2 linked regions of the Mytilus edulis genome follow. The protein of the gene in region 1 binds, or shares a complex with, the protein of each later gene. Links are inferred from orthologs where the notes say so. Each region holds a gene or a part of one and is shown in the gene's direction. Other genes may lie near its edges.

Evidence for each region.
Region 2: the proteins of lysosomal dipeptide transporter MFSD1-like (region 1) and glycosylated lysosomal membrane protein-like are in contact, whole or in part, in a cryo-EM structure (PDB 8R8Q), measured with the Mus musculus proteins. The link is inferred for Mytilus edulis from reciprocal best matches to the Homo sapiens genes MFSD1 and GLMP. Residues at the interface, in NP_080089.1 of Mus musculus: Val288, Glu292, Lys293, Arg295, Phe349, Phe351, Leu411, Asp412, Lys414, Gly415, Tyr416, Leu417, Leu418, Val421, Ile424, Ser428, Leu432, Val435, Leu439; in NP_064387.1 of Mus musculus: Glu250, Asn252, Ser253, Ile254, Asp255, Asp256, Glu257, Pro260, Ala261, Phe263, Gln264, Arg292, Phe364, Leu367, Val368, Ile371, Met372, Ala375, Ala378, Leu381, Met382, Gly385, Phe389.

The regions. Positions count from the first base shown.
Region 1 is NC_092346.1:89,248,406-89,252,338, forward strand, and holds the start of lysosomal dipeptide transporter MFSD1-like, read left to right. Parts: upstream 1-1,292; 5' UTR 1,293-1,453; coding exon 1,454-1,601; intron 1,602-3,933. Other genes in the region: BPTF-associated chromatin complex component 1-like, read right to left, coding at 1,156-1,173. UniProt on the Homo sapiens protein: Lysosomal dipeptide uniporter that selectively exports lysine, arginine or histidine-containing dipeptides with a net positive charge from the lysosome lumen into the cytosol.
Region 2 is NC_092347.1:64,502,996-64,506,928, forward strand, and holds the start of glycosylated lysosomal membrane protein-like, read left to right. Parts: upstream 1-835; 5' UTR 836-901; coding exon 902-991; intron 992-2,903; coding exon 2,904-3,188; intron 3,189-3,933. UniProt on the Homo sapiens protein: Required to protect lysosomal transporter MFSD1 from lysosomal proteolysis and for MFSD1 lysosomal localization.

The DNA.
Region 1 (3,933 bases):
TGAAATTAGAATTGTTTTATACAGACATTGAACGACAAAATTTCTTTTTTGTGACGTTTGCATTTTCTGACACCCAACATGCGAAACAAGGAATGTGTTTTTTAATTTGATAGATGCTTTTTGTGTTTTTTGTATATACATGTTTGTTTGTCTTGAGATGGTAACACAGTGATGACTGTCGTAACCATAATTTGACTATTTTACTGATTATGTCTGTTTTGTTCACACATAGTCATGATAGTTGTCAAAATTATGGAATTTGATGCGACTGACATAAAAGTAAGATGATTAGCACTATAAAACCAGGTTCAATCCAACATTTTCTACATTTGAAAATGCCTGTACCAAGTCAGGAATATGACAGTTGTCCATTTGTTTGATGTGTTTTATCCTTTGATTTTGCCATTTGATTAAGGACTTTCTGTTTTGAATTTTCCTCAGAGTTCAGTATTTTTGTGATTTTACTTTTTTCTCATATAATCAATGTTGTGAGAAGTATTGATTTAAATGGACAATAGATGGATCAAATGAAACTTATGTGTTTGTTTATTTTGCTATCTTCTGCAGACTGGAAAAAAATGCACGTCAAAATCCAGGTAAGTAATAAGCTTGCAGTCAATCAAGGGGTGCGTCTATATTGGCAGAATCTCGAAGTACATACATTTGTACATACTTCAATTCAAAATGGCAGCAGAAAATGAGAAGAAGCTGGTATAAGACAAATTGCAAAAATAAAATCATATAAAATCACTATCCCTATGTATAGCTATTAAACAAATTTTTGAAGATTGGAAAAATATAAATGAACCTGAAAAAATAATCTCACAAATTGGAAAAATTGTATTCCAGTCTTAAGACATGGAGAGATCATCAGAGATTGATTCTGATGGTAAAATTAAAAGAAGTCCGAATCGAATTTGGTTGAATTGGTAGCCGTGACCTTAACGACTATGACCGAAACGACCTATGGAAGATTGAAGAACTGCTTCTGGTAGTGGTACTAGCCGTAGGCGTAGGGCGAAACGTCTCGTAGTGAACGTAGTTTACATGCATATAAAATAAATGCGCTTGTGGAGATATAAGTTGTTCAGTGAATGATTGGGGTTTCACATTTTACTATAAGATATATAATTTTGAATGCAATATTTTCAATACCTTGCTTGCAGAACTCATTCTGCAAACAACAAGTCGTTTTCGCCGCTAAAATTATTCACCGGATGTTGACACTTTTAACCGGAAACTGCCAAACAATCTTTGATTATTTTTTTGTACTTATTGTTGCTATTGTTATAGTTTCACTGAATCAAATATTTGAATATCAGAATTTTGTAAGAATTTATAGGTTTCTTCATTTGTGTAAAAAAATTTAGAGACTATTTTTATTTATTTTCTATTTTTAGATTGAAAAATCATGTGATTCTGTCACTTTGTCACAAGCACAAAAGTTACCAAAATGACAGAGAGTGAAAAGAAGCCACTGTTAGGGTCTTCTGACGAAGAAGAAGAGAAACTTACAGGATGTGGAAAAACACTTTGCTGCAATCCGTTCAGATTTTTACACAGATATCTGATTTTGATTATCATGTGTTTCTTAAGCTTTGGTTTGTATATATATTTTTATATTATGTTACTGTGTAACTTGTAAGTGTTTTGAAGTACAATGCTCACATATTATGTTTTCTCTTTTTCTTGCTCAGATGCTTACAGCAAGTTAACAATGGAAAGTAGTGGCACATCCAGACATTAATCATTTGCCAGAGGGGGGTGAAGAAGTTTGTAAGCCCCTCTAGATCTTAACTTGCACTTTTTTTCATAAGACTAGATTGCATTAACTTTGCCATTGCCCCTATATTTCATGCGACAATTTGTTACTCATAAAGATATTTAGCTCATATTTACATCATAGTGAATATGCCACGGTGGAGTTAACCAGTACGTTGTAAAAACGTCACTGTTTCTTTTTGAAAATCAAATACTAGCTATATATAGTAACACATTGCTAAGGCTGTGGATGACAAGTATAACATGTAACACCTTCAAAGCAACAAAGGATATAGCAAGGATGTATTGATTCCTATTTCACAATTCCACCCAAAAGAAGGTAATACTTTCTTACACTTAAATGACTTACATGATGAAAAAAAGTTCCACAGCTATGATATTTACCAACAAAAACATGTTAACCCTACTGCCCAGCCCATTATTATTATAATAAAATTGCTGAATAATGATCCCCACTCAGTAATCTCTAGATAAATAGAAGTCTAAGGTACGGACCATTTGATTGTCGGGGAGGTCAGATATTTTAAGGAAGAGAAATTCTGGACCTGTTTTTGCTTTAAAAAAAATCTGGCTGTACCTTGGTTGAAAACAATAATCGTGCCCACTTATTTAGAAAAGACATTTCCAACAAAATTATTGAGCATTAACTGTATAAAAAAATTGTAAGGGTTCCGCGGAACCCAGTGTCTCGCCTACTCTTTCTGTTTATGGCAAGCTCAACAAAAATGAGGAAACAAATCAATAAAATATTCCTGTTGATACTATCTTTTGATTGTAAGAAGCTTCTGTCCAAGTTTGGTAAAAATCCAGGATAGTTTATGTAATAAATGTTTGAAAAATTTAACTGCACACTGAATGTAATGTTATAAAACTAGAAGAAAACAAAATTTCCTTCTAGATACTAGCTTTTGATCATAAACAAGCTTCTTTCCAAGTTTGGTACAAATACAAAATAGTATAAGAAAGTTATTAAAATTTTAAAAAGTTAAACCTCAGAGTGAACATGGTGAACATGGTGAATGTGTTGTTTCGCAGCAAATCTAAGTCACTTTAAAAGTAAAATACAAAATAGATTTATTTTTTTACAAAATTTCCTTCTAGATACTAGCTTTTGATCATAAACAAGCTTCTGTCCAAGTTTGGTACAAATCCAAAATAGTATAAGAAAGTTATTAAAATTTTAAAAAGTTTTACCACAGAGTGAATGTATTGTTTCCTGACAGAAAATCTAAGTCCATTTAAAAGTAAAATACAGAAAAATGGATTTTTTTTTTAACAAAATTTACTTCTGGATACTATTTATGATCATAAACAATCTTCTGTCTAAGTTTGGTACCAACCCAGGATAGTTTAAGAAAGTTATTAAATTTTAAAAACTTTTACCACAGAGTGAATGTAATATTTCCCAGCAGAAAAACTAAATCCATTTATAAGTAAAATACAGAAAAAATGGAATTTTATTTTTACAAAATTTACTTCTGGATACTATCTTTTGATCATATACAAGCTTCTGTCCAAGTTTGGTAGAAATCCAGGATCTTTTGAGAAAGTTATTCAAATTTCAAAAACTTTAACCACAGAGTGAATATTTGTGGACACCGCCGACACCGATGACGACAGAATGTAGGATCGCTTAGTCTCGTTTTTTTGACTAAAGTCGAAGGCTTGACAAAAATGAAGTATATGTAAGTCTGATTTTTTTTTGGGGGGGGGGGATGTCAATGTCAAATCTCTTGTTGATATTTGTATAACTATTCTTGGGTTTCTTAATGTTTTTATAGAGTTTAGACTAAAGAGAGGGTAGTGAATGGAATATCTGTTTTGTTGAAATGGTATACTGAGTACATTTTTCAAGAAATGACTGCAACCTGCCTGCTGGTTGTTGCGTTTAGGTCTCCATTTCCCAACTGTCCTTCACAACTTTATTGTCATTTCAGAATCATTCATAGCCTTTGGTTGATTTGGAACCACTGACTTTCCTTGTTTGGTGAAACATTTCAACCATACATTTGGATAAATTCATAAAAATTGTTTTTTTTTGTCTTATCGTGTCATTTTTTTGTAAATTTCATTGAATGGCTGTATATTTTGTTTACATCAAGAAGTCTGTGAGGTTATGTTAACTAACTATACAACAAACGCCAGTCACTG
Region 2 (3,933 bases), on another chromosome or scaffold:
GCGCAATTTTCTGCGACTGTCATACAAGTGAGAGGATTGGCTAACCATAAAACCAGGTCCAATCCACCATTTTCTGCATAAGAAAATGCCTAGCTGAACCAATTCGGAATATAACCGTTTTGTTATATATTTGTTTGATTTTGCAGTTAGATTCCGGAGCACCTGAGACCACCCCTAGTTTTTTGGTGGGGTTCGTGTTGTTTATTATTTGGTTTTCTATGTTGTGTCGTGTGTGCTGTTGTTTGTTTGTCTTTTTCGTTTTTAGCCATCGTGCGTTGTCAGTTGTTTTGGATTTATGAGTTTGACTGTCTCTTTGGTATCTTTCGTCCCTCTTTTAAGGACTTTCCGTTTTTAGATTTTGTCGGAGTCGGTTTTTTTTTTTTTTTTTTTTGTTGCTTTACTTTTTATTACCACTTTCTTGAAACTTTTGATTCACTCATTTATTAAATAATTGTTTTCCTGCTAAATTTTAATATTAAAAATTTAAAATACACATTTTTCACGGTCTCCTTCTATACTCTTTTCTCCTTTCTCCTGCCCCTTCTCTCCTTCCTCCCCGGTGCCCCTCTCTCCCTTCTCTATCTCCCCCTCTATCTTCTCCCGCCCCTCTCTCCCATGCTCCCAATACCCGGTCCAGGCCCTCAAGACTTAGGGTCGGCAAAATATTTTGTGAGGAATATTTTTTAAATGGACCATTACGAAATTTAACTTTTTACTTAAAACTTAATTTATCTATTTCAAAACAATATGTTTTTAACCTCTGACAGTTCATTTGAAAGAAAAAATAAAGTTCTTTTCAGTCCGTTATACTTTAAAAGTTTTATGCGGGTATAAAACATACCTTTTGGTTATCACTTGACGCTCAGCTGATAATGAATCATGTGATCATCACAGTTTAAAGATGGCGGTAACCGTAACATTTGTTTCAAAAGTTTTTTCAGTTGTTCTGCTTGTTATTGTTCTATTGGAGACAATAGTTGCATTAAGAACGGTAAGACTATGATTTTGTTTTAAGACGAAATAATATATTTCAATTATTATTGTCAAATAATGAGATATATGAGAGAAATTTAAAACCAAGACTAAAAAAATATTCGGTATTAGAACTTAAAATTTATACATGTACGGTGCAGTCGGTGTATCCGCGCACCTATATGTAAGACTTATGAATTCACTTCATTCAACTGATAAAGCTAATAATACACCTTATCGCTAATCCCGGCTGACACTGCCGCTTCAACTTTTGACATCAACAACAATTACTTTTCCATAAAATTTGTGGCGTTACAGGTATATTTTGCTTTATGATGTCAAAATTTTACGGGAACCTGCGTGATATCCAGTAATGGTGGACAAATAGCGATAAGGTGTATTGGATAATATTGTGTGAACACATTCATAAGATACTTTTATTTCATAAAAATATCTGTTTGTATGGTTTCACCCTTAAGCATGTTAAGATTTTGCGGTCTCACTAATTAGCGACAACAAGAATTTTAGCGACAACAAGCGTCAACAAGCGACAAGAAGCGACAACAAGAATTATTTTAGCGACAACAAGCGACAAGAAACTATTTAGCGACAAGAAAACATTTTTTTTTTTAATCAAAACTAATTATTGCAATAAATATTAAAAGAACATGCAAAAGAAAATAATTTTAGCGACAAGAAAGTTAAAATTGATAAACATTATTTACATAATATTTTATCATCTATTATGAATAACAGCCAGTATTACGTTTAATTATTGTATTATGAAATTACTTTTCCTTGTGTTTTAGAACATATTATTTATCTTATAATTTGTTTTTTAAAACTCTTTTCGTGCAATATGTATTAAGCTCGCAAAATGAATTACTTGTGCATCATTGTCCTGAAAATATTGACACAAATTGTGAAATGCAAAGAATTGAAACCAAACAGGAGGATAAGAATTAATTCCTTCTTAATGAATTTCCTAATTAATGATCATTAATACTCCAGTAATAATAATAATAATTAATGATATGAAACACAAATTGTGTTACAATATCTCCATTCGTTTATTCATACTTTGACTTTGATGAAAACAGATACATACATTATCTTATACATATTCTTCATATTTAAAAATAAAAAAAAAAGAAGCTCAATCTCTTTCTTTTTCACAAATGTTAAATTTCTTCATCTACCAATATACTAATATAAACTTTTTAATTAGACATATCTGCTCGTATATTTAAAAAAAAACATTAAATACAAATTTCTTTATATCTAATAAAAAAAAATGTTTTCTTGTCGCTAAATAGTCTTCTTGTCGCTTGTTGTCGCTAAAATAATTTTTGTTGTCGCTTCTTGTCGATTGTTGACGCTTGTTGTCGCTTCTTGACGCTTGTTGTCGCTAATTAGTGAGACCCAGATTTTGTGTAATGTGTGTCCAAAATTAGGAAAACTCCTGTTCTGAGAGTTCCTCAAATGTCCTGTGATTTCGCACATGCCTTCCAAAAATAGCTTATTTTGAATATAGGAAAGATTTCTGCTACGAAATATAGCTGAATTTGAATCAAGCACACTACCAAGGATGCAGAGCAAAAATTATTTCAATTTGATATAAATTTGACTTAAAATAAAACAAATTTTATCTGATAATGCATTTTTTTTTAATGGAAATTGGCCAAATATTATTTAACTCTTGAACGCGGACATCTGGGACACAAAAGTCACAGGTACTTGAGGACAGTTGATTCATTTGTTCATGTACATGTACATGTTCATGTAGTATGAAAAAAGTCTATTGGAAAATCATGTTTATTCTGCACTCATTTTTTCGGTTATATAATGCTGAACAGTCTAGTTTAGTAGTTCTGTATATCATGTATATGATACAATTGTTTAGGCTATAAAAATATGTGATTCAATTATAGATACAAACTGAATTAAATCCTGGGTGTGATGACACAAAGGAAGATTGTGCAGGAGGAGTGGCTTACATCAAAGCTATTGGAGATCAAAATACATTCCATTATATACTCACAGCCATTGGACCTCCCACAGTCCTGGTCATCAAGACGGAGAAAACAACAAAAGATGCAGGAATAAGCATCAATTGGGACAACTTTAAATCAGGCAATATCACAGAAATGGAAAATTCAATCAAACTAGATCCAAGTTATAAAATACTGTATTCTTATGGAGTTGTCTTTACAAGGGTAAATCTAAATCTGTAATAATATATGTTTGTTATTAGTAAAATTATTTCATTTATAGTGGGGCATAGGGAACACTTGAGACTTTGCGCAGAAACTGAATGCATAACCTTGCTAACTATTTGTTTAATTAAATTAATATTTTTGATTAATGTCAGAATGAGACAAGGCTATTAAGGGAGAAACTTAGCTGTGATAACAAGGCTAGGTTATTTAAGGAATATAACTTATTATATATGACACTTGGGAATTACAGAGAATCTTGCGCTGAACCTCATTACATGCTCGGGTAATTATTTCTTACAATAAATTAAAATACATTGTAATTAAGAATGATTTATGTCTGAGCAAATGCTTTGAAGTGAGATAGAGAAGCTGTGATAACACTCTTTAGTTATTACAGGCATAATTTTTCTGTAATAACATATAGGTGTACCATGCAAAATTTGCAAACTATGAACTGTTATATCTTTCAATAGTTAAGTATACATATAGACAGAAGCAATATCAATAGAACTTTTATACATTTTAACTAGAGTAATGATATATATATTGTCCTTTTGAAACATGTAACATACATGTAACATACGTATGTTATCACAGTTCTTTGATTTTTTAGTCCACAATAACAAATGTATGTTATTTTTCTGTATTAACCCTATAGAGTTATATCCCTGACTGCTTCAATTAGATTAAGTCAGTTTCTTGAAGACAACGCAATATATTATCATTGAGTTAGTTAGTTTCT